4 linked regions of the Drosophila melanogaster genome follow. The protein of the gene in region 3 interacts with the protein of the main gene of each other region in a pairwise test. Each region holds a gene or a part of one and is shown on either strand. Other genes may lie near its edges. The genes, in order: CG4676, CG7685, Nha2 and Mtl.

Region 1 (3,294 bases), on a different chromosome or scaffold from region 3:
AGATATACTCACGCTTCTCGTTCGCGGTGGTAGCTACGAAAAGGCGACCGAAGTCTTCGCCCACATTGACAAGAACCAGCACAGAATTCCCGGAACACCAAGCCTAAATGCTCTGATAGAATTTGTGGACGCAAGTGTGCAGGAGAAGTCACCCAGCCAGGCGCTGTTTGCCCTGCAATATGCCGTTGAGAACAACTTTGATTCCAGGGAGTTAGCCAAACGTATTCATGAAGGATTTACCCTAAATGAAACACACCTGTCTAAGCTGAAATCGCTCGTAGGCGAAAGTTTCCTCGATAAGTAGTAGAGTCTTTTGTAAATTATATAATGAACGCTGTTAAATAAATAACCATTTAATAAATACTTGTTTGGTTTCATTAAACAGATTAATTTAATACATATAATAGACATTACTGAATGAATACACAGTATTCTAAATATTTTGTAAAGCTTTATGTTAATAAAAGGCTTTGTACTATTTTAACTTGTAAGCTGATCAAATGTGTGACTTGTAAACATTAAAAATTAATTTCCATTGGTCAAGTAGAGAATAGTAAGACGTATAAATTTGGATACTATTTCCAATTCAGATGTTGACTAGTGAGTCTTAAAATAAACAATACTGATTTTGTTATGAAGTAGATATAAGTAAATGCCTCTAATGAATGTCAAGAATGGGTAAGACACAATTCAGATCTATTCCTCCTTTGGAGAAAAGGCGGCTATGGGTTCCCAGTTCATTCCGTCGTGTGGCAGATCGCTGCGTAGAAACGGCGACAGCCAGGTGAGATGCATTCTCTTGCCCAGAACCATCTCCAGGTTACCCCGCAAACCGCGATCGTACTTTCTTGTGCCGCGCTCTCGTGTCACCGAACCGCTCTTGAATATCGACCAGTGGAAGACAAGGAGCAAGGATGATATGGCGAAGCCCAGAAGGGTGAGATCATATATGACCAAGTAGAAGGACTCCCAGCTTGGAGACAGCATCAGGCTAACCACGGGAGCAAATATGGTGAACAGCGTAGACCAGCGCCAGTAGATGTCCAGATGGAGATGCCACAGATAGATGCTCTCCATGATGGCGGCCGCCAAGGATCCGATGATCATGTAAACCAGGTAGTAGAAGAAGTACCTGTAGTTGTGATGCCCGATGCAGCAGCAAGTGAACCGACAGTGGTGGTCCCGCTTCAGCACGCACACGTTGCACACTTCGCAGTGCCAGGATCGAGGTGGCACCAATGTCTGACAATCCTGGCAAGAGTGCCACCGTGCCAGCTGCGCCGCATCCAACGGTGGCTTCAGCAGCTCCTCTATAAAGACAATCTTAGAAGGGATACCACAAAATCACTGCTTGCTACCCACTGCGGATACTAGTGTCCACAAGCATGCAGGCCAGCATGTTGGATGTGATGTTGAAGATGAGGAACAGGCTGGCCAACCATAATAACGTGTACCAAATCCCTCCGATGGCAAACAGTTCCGGCATAACAATGGTCACATGGAAGATGTATGTCACGGGCACAAAGACAGCCACCAGGAGGAAACATGCGAAATCCGAAATGGAACGAGGTTTAACGCGATCCCACGAGCGCAAAATCATCATGCTCCCGTTATTTTTTGTACCCCCCAACTGAGACAGTGCTGCAAAGCGATTTTTGGCTCTGCTGCTAACGGTAAGACTGTTAAGTCGAGTATGGTGAAACGGTTAGAACACAACTCTTTACGTTAGGAAACCCGTAAAATGTTAAATAAGATTGAATTTAACAGAAGCAATCCGGTTTTTAAAGAACACAAATGATTTAATTTAAAGAAATATAAATATATAAGGTAATAATAAGTAACTTAATACGAATAAATCAAATGTCATAAACGATGGTATATTAAAGGAATACAAATGTTATAAGCTTAAGTTCTTAAGTTTGCTTTATATTATTACATAAAAACTTGAAATTAAAAATAAAATTTTATTTGAAATTAAAGAACGACTTTATAATGGGGATTTCTACTGTGAAATTACAAAAACAAAAACCATACAAAATTGATAAGGCATAGCGCTTCGATGAAACTTTGCTTTGTTTTTTTTCTTGGAACTTTTAAAGGCGATTCAATTAATATATACGTGTGCATAATAGGTTGGGGTTTTTTTTTGCGGATTATCGAAAACCATATGACGAACGAGACAATAAAATAAAAGAATATGTTTAACTAAACAATGTAAAGTTTTAAATTGTGAAAAATAATCATTTCCTTGATGTAGAGTGCAAGCAGGTATAAAACATTGCCTAGCCTAGGTGCACTGTTCTTTTTATATTACTTTAATAATTTTTTTCTTTTTTAGGTTTTAAAATTTTGGGAGCGAACTAGTTCGCAGTAAAAATGAATTCGTGTAGCTAGTAGTTTATACATATATACCAAATGACTTTTACTGACAATAAAACAAATTAATAGGCAAAGTAATTTAAAAATGCACAAATTATATGGCACGAAAAACGTTTAACATCGTTTCGCTTCGCGAGTTTTGAAAATAGCTGAAGAATCGTAGCTAGAAAGCAGACGATTTGGCATCCCTGGCAGCAGTTAATCAAACCACTTGCGACCGTAAAACATTCCAAATGCTTCGGTGAAGTTAAATCTTATCGCAGCAGAGCAGTCGCGTTCCACATCGCATTCCGTACGAATCGCAGCCGCAACCGATCCCGCAAATTGGGTAGATCCGCAAAATGTCGGCGACGCACCTGGTGATTCTGGCCGTCGCTCTGCTGGTGGACATCGCATCCGCGGGCGTTCCCCTTCCGCGATACGAGGCGCTCCTCAAGCAGCAGTCCCCTCCATCGGATCCCACACTGGGTCTCTACGACGACGGGGATAAGGTTATCCGCCTGTCGGTCGACAACTTCAATGCTACCGTCCTGGACCAGAATCGCGGAGCATTAGTCGAGTTCTACAACACTTACTGCGGCCACTGTCGCAGATTCGCACCCACGTACAAGTCGGTAGCGGAGCACCTGTTGCCCTGGTCCGAGGTGCTCATCGTGGCGGCCATCGATTGCGCCGCCGAGGAGAACAATGGCATCTGCCGCAACTACGAGGTGATGGGCTATCCAACGCTACGTTATCTGGGCCCCGGTTTCCAGCCGGGTCCTCAGCATTACGGGCAGAGCCTGCATACGCAGGATAAAAACGAAATCCGCGAAATACTAGCGGGTATGGTGGCCGCAGAGAACCTGACCAGCAGCCACAACAATTCCTACTGGCCAAACTTTCACTACTTAACGGAGAACGATTCAGCCAGCA
Region 2 (3,464 bases), 4.6 Mb from region 3:
CTGACTTTCAAATCTGACACGTGAAGGTAAATAAATTCAAATAGAAATGTAACTATGGATCAGCGCTTTCCTGTAATTATTTATTAGGGTTGATTATCTTGTATAACCCTTTGAAACGGAAGCATTATCCTTAATCAACACTGTGTACTTGAACAGCTGTTTGGCCCGTAGTTGTAGGTACTATTTTTGAAAACACCATTGGGAGTTCCCACAAGACAAACAAATCCGTGCACCGTTGTATTGGATTCCAATCGAACAGCTGACATACCTTCGGGCCCGTTAGTTTTCCCGATCGCCCTGCATATGATACCATATCTCCCATTACAGCGCTGCAGCCCAATCAAACCGGTTTGTCGCCTTTCGACTTTTCGGTGGTCTCAGTTCACATCCATTTCCCCAACCAGTCCAATTGCTTTTATCTTGCTCCTCGAGTGTTAACGAAATTGCTTAAATCCACCCACATTCATCCTTTCATTCAGTTCGGCCTGGGAGTAGCAGCATGAAAAACGTTTTGGATGTCATGTCGATGCAGCAGCACGTGGAGTTGAACAAGGCGCAGACCATGAAGCCCATCGACTATCGGTAAGTTGAATGATCCAATCTAAAGATACCACCAATATATACATATCTGTGCCATCTGTGCCGCAGCAAAATGAACAAACCCGGCGTGGTGCCGATGTACATCTTTGAGTGCGCTGCCAAGTTGAAAATGAAACCGCTGACGGCGGCCTGTGCGGCCATAGTGTTCCATCGCTTCTTCCGCGAGGTCAAGGCCAGCGACTACGATGAGTTCGTGAGTAATATATGCCCCCAAAACGACCCCATCTCATGAGAAACTTTCTGGAATCCACAGCTCATTGCCGCGGGCTCGCTGTACTTGGCTGGCAAAATTAAGGAAGACGAAAGTGTCAAGATACGCGATGTCATCAACGTGGCATACTGCACCCTTAACCGGGGCAATGATCCAGTCGACCTGAACGATGAGTACTGGTCGATGCGGGATGCCATTGTCCAGGCTGAGCTGCTCATCACGCGCACCCTGTGCTTCGATCTCAACATAGATCTGGCCCACAAGTACTTACTCCACTACATGAAGACCCTACAAGACTGGGTGGGCACTGAGGTGTGGAACTCGGTGCCCATTGCCAAGGCAGCCGCCTCGTATCTGCAAGACTTTCACCACAGCGCCAATATCCTCAAGTACAAGCCCACCCATGTGGCCATTGGGTGCCTGTCGCTGGCCCTCCAGACCTACGGCATCCAGGTGCCGCTAACCGACGAGTCCGACGAATCCGCCATGTGGTACAAGCCCTTGGTCAAGGACTTCACCCGAGAGAACCAGTGGGAGATCATCGAGAACGTGATCGAGGTCTACAAGAACGAGGGCTTCCTGAATGCCACCTAATCGCTGAGAGAGACTGCCAAAACCATTCCTTCTGCCATCTGAACTTATTTATTTTCCCCTCGCCACCTCATAAACCAATCTCAGATACTACTAGACGTACATATGCTCAAATGTCCAATGCATTTACATCATGCCCTTGCCAAAACAAATAAATTGACCGGTAATGAAATGCTTATGTGATCGACGGGCGAAAGTACATTTACCTATCAGCGAAGACGATAGATCTAAAGTTTACAACTTATTTATACACTGATTCAATAAACAATTGTTCTGTGAAAAATGATATTGTTAATGGGTCTTTGGAGTTGTGAAATGCTTTAAGATTCTGAGGAAAAGCAAAAAGGTGTTTGGCGCTTTTATTTCAATCAAATTCATTATACTTTTAAGCTGTTAAAAGTTTTACAAAAAAATATTACACTTTATCAAACAAATTTAAATAAATCGCTCTGTATTTGATTAAATTCCGGGATGGGTGGCAACCCTTAGCCCCAGCCCAGCAGTGTTGACTAACGCAGGCATGTACAAAAACAATGCTAGTTCGTAAACAAAACATATTTTTTATACATTACTTGGCCAGAGCGAAAAAACAAGGACAATATGCGTAAGACGTGGGTGAAGCGAGAGAATATATACTTCAAGCCCTTCTACAAGCAGAAGTCGAAGATGTTCCTGCTGCTGATCTTCCTGGTCGGAATTTCGTTCATCGCGTATCAGGTGAGAGTCTCGCAAGGATTTTCCTGTGCACGGTGTTTAATGTGTAAACAATAACGATAGGCCTTCTCGCTGAACCAGCTGCCCGGAGTGCCTGCTCCGTGGAATCTGCAGCAGATCAAGCGCAAGCACCAGCAGATGATGCAGTCCCTGGGCAGCAAACAGCGCGACGTGGACGATTTCGATGGCGGAGGCGCCGATGCAGTTGCTCCGGCAGGCGGGGAAACCTCACCTGTTGCGGGTCACGAGGATCCCATCAAGATTGTCAGGTGTGTAGTAGATGCATTGTTGCTGGCTTGGGAAAATTCCTCATCCTCGTCTTTATCCTTTAGGGGCACACGGCTCTTCGACTACGACGCCTACAAGCCCAACTTCGAGGGCAAGTTCCGGTGTCTGGACGGCTCCAAAGAGATCCCGTTCGACCACCTGAACGACAACTACTGCGACTGTGAGGAGGACGGCAGCGACGAGCCCAGCACGAATGCCTGCGCCAAGGGGCGATTCTACTGTCGCTACCAGAAGCGTCACATCACGGGCCGGGGCCTGGATATCTACGTGGCCAGCAGCCGCATTAATGACCACGTGTGCGACTGCTGCGACGGCAGCGATGAGTGGAGCACGGCGACCAAGTGTCCCAACGACTGTGCGTAGTCGCAGGCCGACGGGACCCCGTTCCCACTCCCATTCCTCTTCCATCTCCTCCACCTGTGCACCTAGGACACCAATCTCAAGGATGAAGATGTCGGGCGGCGCATCACAAGCGATATTTTTTGTACGAGTACAATAGAATTGTAATTTATTTTAAAATAAGTAGATTGAATAAAAGAAACGAATTCCAAGAAACACAATGTGGCCTGTTCCAGTTTTCACATTCAAAGAATCTGATGGATTTAATGTGTACAATTTGTTTAAAACTATGTTTAATTTGGTGCCAGAGGAGCAGCTGCAAGATTAGATCTTTGTGGACATGTGAAAAAAAGAAGCTGCCATTTTATCCATATATGCTTATTCATTTTATTACCAGACTCACAAAAATCAGTAGAATTTACATTGGGAATTCCTTTTTTGTTTTGTTTTCTTTTTTTTGCTCGACTTTCTCTGCGCGATTTTTGGTTTCGAATTCGCAGCGTTTTCATTTATAATGTTCAATTTACATCTACGACCGTCTGTAATTTTAGTTAATATGGTTCTTCTTGCCTAAAAATGTTTTGTGCAGTTTAATCCGTAAAATGTACATCGACAAACTCTAAAGCAATTTTGAACTGCAAATTCTACAAGGTACGAAATTTTGTGTGTAATTAATTTTTCCCTTATATGCACAGTACGTCTCACTGGATTTTCTCTTGGT
Region 3 (4,784 bases):
TTTCCATCGACCGCGTATTTATACGAAAAATGCAAAACGCAATTTGGAAATGTGTTTAATTTGCAATATTTTTAATTAATAAAAACATTTAGAAATGTGCTGGCCTGGCAGTTTGAAAGTCCTCGCCATTGAGTGTCCACGTTGAGCTCAACAACCTGCAGATGCTCTATAAGAGTAGCGAGCTAAATTAATGGTTTGTATGGTACTTTAATGAAAAACAAAATAAATCTTTCTGCGCCATATGCGATTCTTTTGGAATATCATGACCCATTTCAAGAGTATCTCCATTAGTCCTTGCATCCTTATGGCGGAATAATAACACCAATGTTTGTGCAAAAGAAATTGAAAAACTGAAAACTGAAAACTCAAAACAGAAAACTGAATACTGAAAACTGGTAACTAGCGCCTGTCTGTTTGCTGCCTCCTGATAATTGACTTGCATGCAAATTAATGTTTTTTGCATGTGGGCGTAAATTGCTGCCCTGTCTGACAAACAGTAAACACGGTCAATGCAGCGGCGAGTCATTTTCATCAACGCGCCGCTGCACTATACATAAATCTCTGCCCCATCGATGTTTACCATATTTAAGGAAAAAATTCCAATTTGATGCAACAAAAATCACGGCACTGTAACAACATGTGTGTGCGTGGCAAATAGAGCGAGAAAGTTGTATTATCCTTTTTGCAGCGCCCCGCACCTCACAATGTCCTGTTTTTTTTGAGCCATCATCATAGTCATCATCATCGTCGTCATAATGGCCATCTTATAGAGTGAGAGTGCAACTGCAACTCCATACAGTGCAAAAAAGTGTGTGTGCATAGTTAAAATAAATTAAATATTTTCGCAAACGACACTTTTTTTGCGCAACAACGTGTGGCACCTGATGAGGAGATGATCTGACTGGAGCACTGGATAATGGTGGTGACGTCACTGCGATTGGTTATCTTTGTCATGGGGCTGGTTTGTCCATCAGGTAAATTAAAAATATTCCAGCGAAGCAATTAAATTACAGCCACGGCGTGGGAGTGGCCACGGCGCCCAATATGATGAGCAACGTCAAAATGCAAATTGTCAGAAAAACAATTTGCAAGACAAGCGAAACTCTTTTTACTTCAAGGAAATATAATTGCTTTCCAAGCTCACAAAAATTAATAATTAATAATAAAAACAATATAAGGTAGTTTTTTTTTTAATACCATGTAAACGCAGCTGGCAAACTAAAGCGCCATCTATGGCACAGAATTGCCGCCCCAATGATAGAGCTCAAATGGGGCAGGTCGCGCACATTTCCCTAAAAAAAAGTGAAAGCGTTTAATCATTCCGACACTCACACATGGGAAATGCGCTATGATTAGAGGTCTATTAATAACGCGGCTATTCGGCGCCTTATCTAGTTCAGATAAATTATGATTACATGACAATTATTTATCAGCTAATTGGCTGCGCCTTAGAAAACTATGGGCATATTGAATCGCAGATAAACGAACCCCTTATAAATATGTAAGTGCTTCCAAACAGACCCCACCCCCACCCCTCATTTCACCCAACCCAGAAACCAACTCATTCCGCACTTTTCGCTCGACAGCAATGAAAACAGAAGGTTCGCCTTCCGCAGAGCTTGTTTGTTTGCCAATTAGTTTTAATCGAAGAGCGCTCGCTGGAGCTGCGCGAATCGGCAATTGCTTGTTTAAATGGCTTTTGCTTTTCTAATTAATGCGTTTGGCAAATATTTGCCAGTGCATGAGCTGTAATAAAAAGAAGCTCCAAGTGCTCAAGTTCCGGGGCTACTACACTATTTCATTCCGCCTTTCCGCCGGTCGTGTCGCGCGTGTTCCGTTCCCTGCATATACTATACTATATACTATATATCCACTCGATTCGCAGCTAACCAATCTCTTCAAACCGCGGCGTTTCTCTTTGGCACTCGTCAATTTTGAGCCAAGAATAGCCATTTGGACTACGTCATCGTACTGATTGCGTCAGCAGTTGTCGCTCTTTGGCATTATTTTCCGCGTTTTTTTCACTCAATCACTCAGTTTTGTTTTGTTCTCTGGATTTCGCCGACATTCGACATGAGCAGCGATTCCGGTAAGCGATTCTGGCAGCTTTCGATACTCACTTTCGGCGTTAATTTACGAGTTTATGGTTAATCAATTAAATGCCACTTTTTGCCCAAGTGCCAATAAATAAATCGTGTGCAAATATGTTCGGGCTTCCACAAGTCAAATTGTTGGGAAATTAACTCTTTTATTTATATACTTGGGACTGGAAAATAAGAATGGTAGAATGGAATTATCAATATTTTTTGTTTGATTAGCAACCCTTCGGCTTTATCTATCATGCGTAATTAAAAATGTTACCAAATAGCTTGAGTCAATTTTTTTTGTGGGAAAAAAGTATGAATATAAAGCGATTTTAATTTTAATATCATACAAATTAATTTATATATATATATATATTTTTTTTTAGATATATTGGATGTAGTGGCAGGCAGTGAGGGTCCACCCTTGCAAGCCTTTCGCAGCAGCAATCCCTTCGAGGACTCGTATCAAATGTCCTCCTGCCAGCAAGATTTCGAACGCGATCGTGATGCGAACTTGACTCCATTGCATATGCTGCGTCGAGCCAGCGAAACGGTGACCGCCAGCATCCTGGAGCCGGAAAAGGAGCACCTCCTTGGCGACAAGCCACAGGTGCCCCCTCGTGCCCATGGAAGCACCGCGCCAAGCGCCATCGAAGGTGAGTGATATGTTTAATTGCACCGCGTCGTCATGGGGAAATTCGAAAAATGCGGAACGAAAGTATTTGTTACGGAAATTCTTGCCTTTATGCAACCAGCTCCCCGGATCAGTGTGCACACAACCCGCAGACAGGACGGCAAAAAGGATGCTGAAGACAGAGACATCCAGTGGAACAGCTCCATGCCAACGCTTTGTTGGCCAGCCAAGCGAAGTGGCTCCGACAGCCAAGTGCACAATGCGTGCTCAGATATGCACATATGCACTTCAGCACATATACGAGTATTCATAGTTTGTTTATGCAAAGTTTTTGTTTCGCCGTCGAGATATCCTGGCAGAATCACAGCTTTTTCTCTCAACTGGCAGGAGCTGATTGAGGCATTTCGATTTTAAGTGAACCGCACAATCACATCTTGCACAAGATGGCGAAGGCGGGCGGGGGACACAGGGGCGTATACGTAATATTTCCGCATATTGACGACAGAGTGTCTGCGATTGACAGTCCAGTGCATCTACCGTCCCGGCTCAAACTCAAAGGCAGGCATTTCCTACACATTCCTTCTGATTTCTGGAAATATGCAAGGCTGTGCCCTGCTGGCCATGTGTGTGGACCACTTTCGTTGGCCGAGCTTTTTGTTTACGCTCCTCTGTTTTGGCAGGTGGCCCTTGCTGGTTTTTCGCCCACAGCCGAGTAGCTAGTATTTTTGAAACTCCCAGAGCAGCAATTGTTTTGCATCTGTTCAAATGCGGGTTTTCGCACCAGTCCATTGTACAACTTTTTGGGAGAATTGGGGAGAACTTCCCTTTGGGCCATCGCAATTGTGGCATTTTCACACGAATAATGAGCCAGTTTAGTTGCGCCCAAATGCCCGCAATCATACAACTAACACGAGTGGCAAAAGCCCGCGGCTCTCGGCAAAGTATGTTCCCATGAATATGCATTAACCGGGGCTCATTTCCTGTGCATTCATTTCGCATTTGCTATTCGCTTTCACATTCGGAGTGCACCACTGATTCTGATTCAGATTCCGATTCCGATTCCGATGCCCGTTTCCATTTCGCGTCTGACTCTGATTTGACTGTGGAAGTCATATTTAAATAAGTTTGCGCACCGCTGCAGGCAGCACTAATGCTCGCATGTGCAGGCACTCGTTTATATTAAATAAATTCCATTTAAATGCAGCGTTTGGGGCAATTCCTCAAGCTCAACCTTGAATGGCACAGCCCTACCATCCACCTGCCCCATCCACATTTCACCTGTCGCTTCTGCTTGTGAGTGAAACGGTGACATTTCTGTTAACTAAAGCCAACATGATATACGCTTGGCACACAAACATGCACTCGTCTATTGATAAATGCAGTGCATTGCGCATTCGCCTCATGCGCCTGTGTGTGTGTGTGTGCAAGTCAGTTCATTACGTATACGCAGTGTGCGACATTTATAAATGCCAGCTAGACTGTGACTCAGCATAATGATTGCCAAATGAATGGTAGAATGTTAACCGTCACGAAAACCCTTTCGACGCCATTTCAATTGGCGCTGGTGCGTTTCGCAGCTGTGTTGGCCCACTTTGGAGGCTTGAATACTTTGGCTAAATCTGAAGGATTTGCAGGCACTTGCACTTGCGCCACAGCTAATTACTAAAACTGCACTTAGTCGCCCCTCCCGCACTTAACCTTTGACCACCTGTCAGACTTTGGCTGCTTATTTGCCGAGCTGCAACGGGGGTTTTTTTTTTCAATTTGTCTCTGGCTCTTTTATTTACCAGCATGGCGCTGAATGGCGCTTTGTGACCTCATTTCTCTACCATTTTTATATAGTTTACCAGCCCGGAGCCAAGAAAGTGCCAGTTTCCACTGATTTGCGATGTATGAGCACTAAATTCGATGCGAATCGCTGGGGCGTGAGTTCATCTCTTGGCAGGAAGTGCGTGACAACGGAATGCAATCTTCTTCCACGCAAAGAAATTATTTTCCGAATGCGCGCTGCATGTGGAGTTGCAAGTCGGCATCAGGATTCAGGACGCGGCAAGGATGCCGGCTGG
Region 4 (5,440 bases), 4.6 Mb from region 3:
CTAACTACATATGTCATGTCTTTTGCTTTTGTTTTTCGATCTCGATTTCGGCCTTTTCCCAATCTGGAATGGTTTTCTCCTTTATGCTCCACGAATCGGTTTTGGGGCCCTTTATTTCAGCTAAAATATAAAAAAGGAAGGTAACAAAGTGTTTCTAGGAATGAACACGAACACTACTCACAGTTCTTGAAACGCTTCACGCCCTCCTGCATATCTGTTATCATATCTGAGGTAACATTCATGATCTCATTGTAACTGGCCACATGGAATCCTGGTTTGTTGTAGGCATTGGCATTTTCAAGCACAGCATTCCTGTCGTGCATTAGGGAAGCCATGGGGAACTTGGCAATGGAAAAGGCCAGATTAACAGCTTGACCTAAAGCTGTGCCTGTGGCCACAACGCGATTCACTAAACCGATTCGCCGCGCCTCCCCAGAGTAGATGCGTCTTCCAGTTGCGATGATCTCCAAGGCATTGGAGTAACCCACTGCAGCGGCCAGCCGCACAGTTCCACCATCGCTCAGGGGAACTCCAAGGCGACGGTTGAAGAACCCCAGAACTGCAGTGTCCTCCATCACCCGGAGATCGCACATTAGAGCCAGTTCCAATCCACCGGCCACACAGAAACCGCTGATGCCGCAAACAAGTGGCTTGCGGAGATGCCGCCTAGTTGGTCCGACGGAGCCCTCGTGACGCAACAGAAAGTTGAGGCTGCCGCGTTGCGCCTCCGCCTCTAGCTCCTCCAGATCATAGCCTGCACAAAAGGAGCCACCTATGCCGTAGAGCACACCCACTGGAGAAGTATCATCCGCTTCGAATTGGCTAATGGCTTCGGTCAGCTGCTCCGCGGTGTTGGCATCAATGGAATTACGCTGCTGCTCGCGATTTAGGCCAATAAGTGTTATGTGCGAGTCCTTCTCCACCAGAACTGTGCGGGCAGGGGCACCCTCTTGAGATTCGCTTTCCGCATTTCTTACAGTAGCCAAAGAAATGCGTCTGCAGCCCGAACTAGTTTGGTTTGCACTCTGTAAAAGTTTATAAACAAATCTGCTCATTACGACGCTCGAAACAACAACAGTGGACATAGGCAGCATGGGCGTAGTCGATAGCAATTAAAGGGTATTGAACTTACATAAGATAATTTTAAAATGATAATTTTTTAATTAACAGGTAATTATTACAATATTCTGCTCGAAATAGAATTAAATAAATAATTTTGTTTACAATGTGAAAATTGGTTGCAACCCCTCTCCCACAACCATGCCTATTAGTATTGTATAATGCCAAATCCGCCTGAGCCCTGCACCTTTTGCAGCACTGCTTGTCAGTTTCGAGAGAGCGGAGCTGGACTACCCGCTCTCTTTTTTCACGCCAAGTCTAGCTGATTTTTAAGTGCCAATTGTAAAAAAAAGTTTATTTTAGTTTTGGAAAAAGAAAAACGACTTTATACTGGATGATATGCTTATTAAGTTTAGTTATTGGTACCATACATTTAAGTGATTTTTTTATATTTACCGTCAGCTATTTTCTGGCCCTAAGTTGGCACCACTGTCAACGGCGAGAGAGAGAGCGTCGCTGCGCTGTCAAAAAGGTGGGTGTGTGTTTGTGTGGAGTGGAAACAAAAAGGAAAAACACGAAAATTATTCGGGGACGCTGCGTTTTGTCCCTCAAACAGATATTTATAAGTAAAAGCCGCTGCGAAATAGTGCGAATCAATTATTTAAATGCGCCGCATGGACCATCGCCTCGAACGCATATCGGTAGCCGGAAAACGCACAGTGATATAAGCCAAGTACAAAACAGTCGCCGCCTGCCGACAGACAAAGGAAAAGGATAGGTGGTGGTGAAAACGGTAAAATAATATTGTATTCCCATTCGGTGTTGTGCCACAACAAAAGATTTTCATTGCTACCGCACCCGCCCCCGCGGCCACGCCCAGCCCCGTTGCATGTGGCGCAATATGTGCCGCCTCTGTGTGTTGAACTTTAATTGAATCGGTTATGAGAACTTAATTGTGTCTATTTTCGGGCGGTTCATTTTCCCATTTTGTGTTTCTTTTTCTCGATGCGGTGCGTCTGCCGGTGGCTTCCGCGTCACCACAACACTCGGGCGACCCCGCCCACCGCCGAAGGGGCGCCACTGGAGGGGCGGTCGCCATTTGGTCCGCTGCTCCCATTTATGCTTTTTGTTTTTCCCCGTCTGTGTCGCCCATCATGATCTATTTTTGAAAATTTTATTTGCGAAAACAAAGTGCCACCGCAACCGAAATGAGACCCTCGTTCGTTTTATTAGGCTTTATGGGCCTCCGCCGCTGCGGTTGCTTTCTTTTTGCGGCCGGGACACACCTTTCGAGAGCCCTGCCTTTGATCATCCCAGAGATATACCGTAGACCTTCGCCATTATACTCTGTACAGTAGTACTTCCACAGCTTGGACATTCCCACTTTACGATGTAGCATACTCCAATAAGTATAACTTCCATTAATACAATATAAATAGTTTGCGACTCAGGAAGCAAGTATCCTGATTCAATTTGTCTAGATATTCAAATTTTAAAAGTTGCCAAATTCCATTTAAGCAATTGTTTATCTTATATATATGTAGTTGCGCGCCAAAAACGATGTGGTAGTTAATTTATTTATAAAAACCTAATAAAACGAATAGGATAATTTATTGTGTCATATATGTATTTCTACAGCATTTGTTTCTATTTTAAAGAATTTTTATTAAGGAAGTACGACTGTGAAATAATTTGCGGTCAGTTGGCACTGGCGGGTTTATTGCCTCGAATAGAACTTAATTAATTGAATTAAGCTGGCGAAGACATTCATCTTCCATCTTATTTTGCCCACAGCACACAGACAGTACACAGCTATCGGCACAGGCACACTCAGCACACTCACGATGTCAACCGGAAGGCCCATAAAGTGTGTAGTCGTTGGTGACGGCACCGTCGGAAAGACCTGCATGCTAATCTCCTACACGACAGACTGCTTTCCCGGCGAATATGTGCCCACAGTGTAAGTTTGTGCCTCGATAGCCGCAAACCGCAGATCGATATCTAACTTTTACTATGATATCTTTCACAGCTTCGACAACTACTCGGCGCCCATGCAAGTGGACACAATACAGGTCTCGCTGGGACTGTGGGATACGGCGGGTCAGGAGGACTACGACCGCCTGAGACCGCTATCCTACCCGCAGACAGACGTTTTCCTGATATGCTACAGCGTGGCGAGTCCCTCGTCCTTTGAGAACGTCACCTCGAAATGGTATCCGGAGATAAAGCACCACTGTCCCGATGCGCCCATCATTCTAGTTGGTAAGTTGCCAAGCGACATGAAAACTGCAATCAGAAAACGAGAATCATACATATATCTTTGGGCGTATTCCAGGCACCAAAATCGATTTGCGCGAAGATCGAGAGACACTCAGCGGCCTGGCAGAGCAGGGACTGACGCCGCTGAAGCGCGAGCAGGGCCAGAAGCTGGCAAACAAGATACGCGCTGTGAAATACATGGAGTGCTCCGCCTTGACGCAGCGCGGTCTCAAGCCGGTAAGTCATCGGTGCCCGGCACACCCTCCACCTACCCCTTATTCATCATTAAATTTCCCTTCCCACTCCGATTGCAAATTCAGGTGTTCGAGGAAGCGGTGCGCGCGGTGCTCAGACCAGAGCCGCTAAAGCGACGCCAGCGAAAGTGTTTAATAATGTAAATAAGGTAGAATGTTATTGGCTTTGGCGAAGTATAGAGATTCCTCGGAAGCGACACGTACACCGGCACAATGGCCACAACAAATTGACACTCACGCAGCGCCCTCATCGACAAATCAATTACATGTATTTATTTATAAAATTCTCCGTACTCTCGTAAAAGGCACCGAACCCGGAAAGAAACTCTAAACAAACGATAAATATTGTACGAAATTCTGTGAATCGAAATGTACTGCCATCAAAATTCGTATGAAATTTCTCTTTGTTTGGCTGTTTTTTTCTGCGGATCGTTGCTGTCACACATTTGGCAAACCACGATTCCCTCCCGCAACAACTAAAAAAAACATTGTTAACAAAATCGGTACCACAGATAAATCATAAATCTAATGCACTACATATGTAGAAATCTAGTCAATTGAATCGAATGTATTGTACGAATAGTATCTGGCAGAAAGAGAAAATTATAACAACCGCAGCAAACATTGGTTTCGCATATCACGAGCATCTATGCATTTCCTAGTTTCCCATTAAATGTATTATAGTTATATATAGCCATGAGCTAAGGCAGCCAATCCGCAGCTAACCAAATCTGAAACCAGGCCAATTCACTTGACGACGAGCTCTTAGAGAAGCCACTTTTTATGATATTCAAGCATGCGCATTTTTTTAATTCTAACTCGACCCTCGAATCATAATCATAATCACTTGAAGCTCATTTGACGATGTCTTTTGAAAATGTAACAACTGTTGTTTATTATTTTATAATGACCTATTTATTACCCTAACTTTAAAAACGAATTGTATAAACAACTTTTATGGCTTAAGTAGAGCAAAAGGATGATGTAAATGGAAAAAGGCAACTAAATGCATTTAAATGTGACGCGACTCGAATAATCGAAAGGAACAAGAATCAAAAACGAATACAAAACCTAAAGAAACCAAGAAAAGCACACAGTTTTCCAAACACACAATGAGCACGATGATAAAGACGCAATGAGACGTAACGAAATCCCAGGACAATTTTTGTACTAATTATATATAGAAAATCAAACGCAAGTCTTATGTAAATGAAATGTAAACGAAGGCCGTTTGGCTCCAGCGATGTAGTAGCCGTGAAACAGATTTAATACTTACGAAAATATATACTGTAATTATATAAAGAAACAAACAAACAAACCACAGCTGTATTTTGTGCTTAACTTTGCCTCTCATTTAGTCGTTTATTGTTATGTTGTAAATGCCAAGTTTCGTTTCCATTTCGGTTCTAAACAATCAACGGTTTGATAAAATGTATTCTGCATATGCATGTTTTAGAAGTGCGTGCCTCGATATCAACTTGTGCACAAATCTCTGAGTGCTTCGATTGGGTGACGTCACGTGCGACTTGTGGAGCAGCTCCTTCCTCGACAGGCTCAATATAGGCGGAATGGCTTCGAGTGGACGGCCTGGCCGGGCTTCTTCTTGGGTCCCGCGCTCTTGGGACGCTTGGGCTCCGAGTTGAGCGAGGGCATGGATACGGAGAGAACCAGGCACTCCGCCGGCAGGGACATGGACGAGGTGAGTGTGGTGGCCCGCTGGATGCGCGGTGCCTTCCAATACTGCGGGAATCGAAAGAGAGGTGTTTAGAGACAATCGGCTCGGACTCGCTGGAGGAGCAGGAGTGATGCAAAATAGTTGTCATAGCTCGATTGAGGAGATGGCGACTTACAATTTGCTTGATCAAATT

The links.
Region 1: the proteins of Nha2 (region 3) and CG4676 interact in a two-hybrid assay, tested with the Drosophila melanogaster proteins (one large-scale study listed by BioGRID).
Region 2: the proteins of Nha2 (region 3) and CG7685 interact in a two-hybrid assay, tested with the Drosophila melanogaster proteins (one large-scale study listed by BioGRID).
Region 4: the proteins of Nha2 (region 3) and Mtl interact in a two-hybrid assay, tested with the Drosophila melanogaster proteins (one large-scale study listed by BioGRID).

The regions. Positions count from the first base shown.
Region 1 is NT_033778.4:13,234,324-13,237,617, reverse strand, and holds CG4676 (uncharacterized protein), read right to left. Parts: upstream 1,639-3,294; 5' UTR 1,604-1,638; coding exon 1,363-1,603; intron 1,311-1,362; coding exon 697-1,310; 3' UTR 563-696; downstream 1-562. Other genes in the region: CG4679 (uncharacterized protein), read left to right, coding at 1-304; Qsox1 (quiescin sulfhydryl oxidase 1), read left to right, coding at 2,721-3,294.
Region 2 is NT_033777.3:18,403,041-18,406,504, forward strand, and holds CG7685 (uncharacterized protein), read left to right. Parts: upstream 1-1,899; 5' UTR 1,900-2,002; coding exon 2,003-2,119; intron 2,120-2,179; coding exon 2,180-2,385; intron 2,386-2,448; coding exon 2,449-2,767; 3' UTR 2,768-2,962; downstream 2,963-3,464. Other genes in the region: koko (kokopelli), read left to right, coding at 500-582, 649-793, 854-1,405.
Region 3 is NT_033777.3:22,995,470-23,000,253, reverse strand, and holds the start of Nha2 (Na[+]/H[+] hydrogen antiporter 2), read left to right. Parts: upstream 1-1,725; 5' UTR 1,726-2,073; coding exon 2,074-2,089; intron 2,090-2,468; exon of another isoform or gene 2,469-2,470; coding exon 2,471-2,740; exon of another isoform or gene 2,741-3,800; intron 3,801-4,784.
Region 4 is NT_033777.3:27,634,985-27,640,424, forward strand, and holds Mtl (Mig-2-like), read left to right. Parts: upstream 1-1,564; 5' UTR 1,565-1,852; intron 1,853-1,876; exon of another isoform or gene 1,877-2,069; intron 2,070-2,853; 5' UTR 2,854-2,903; coding exon 2,904-3,019; intron 3,020-3,088; coding exon 3,089-3,321; intron 3,322-3,394; coding exon 3,395-3,555; intron 3,556-3,638; coding exon 3,639-3,716; 3' UTR 3,717-4,887; downstream 4,888-5,440. Other genes in the region: CG5611 (uncharacterized protein), read right to left, coding at 14-120, 182-1,055.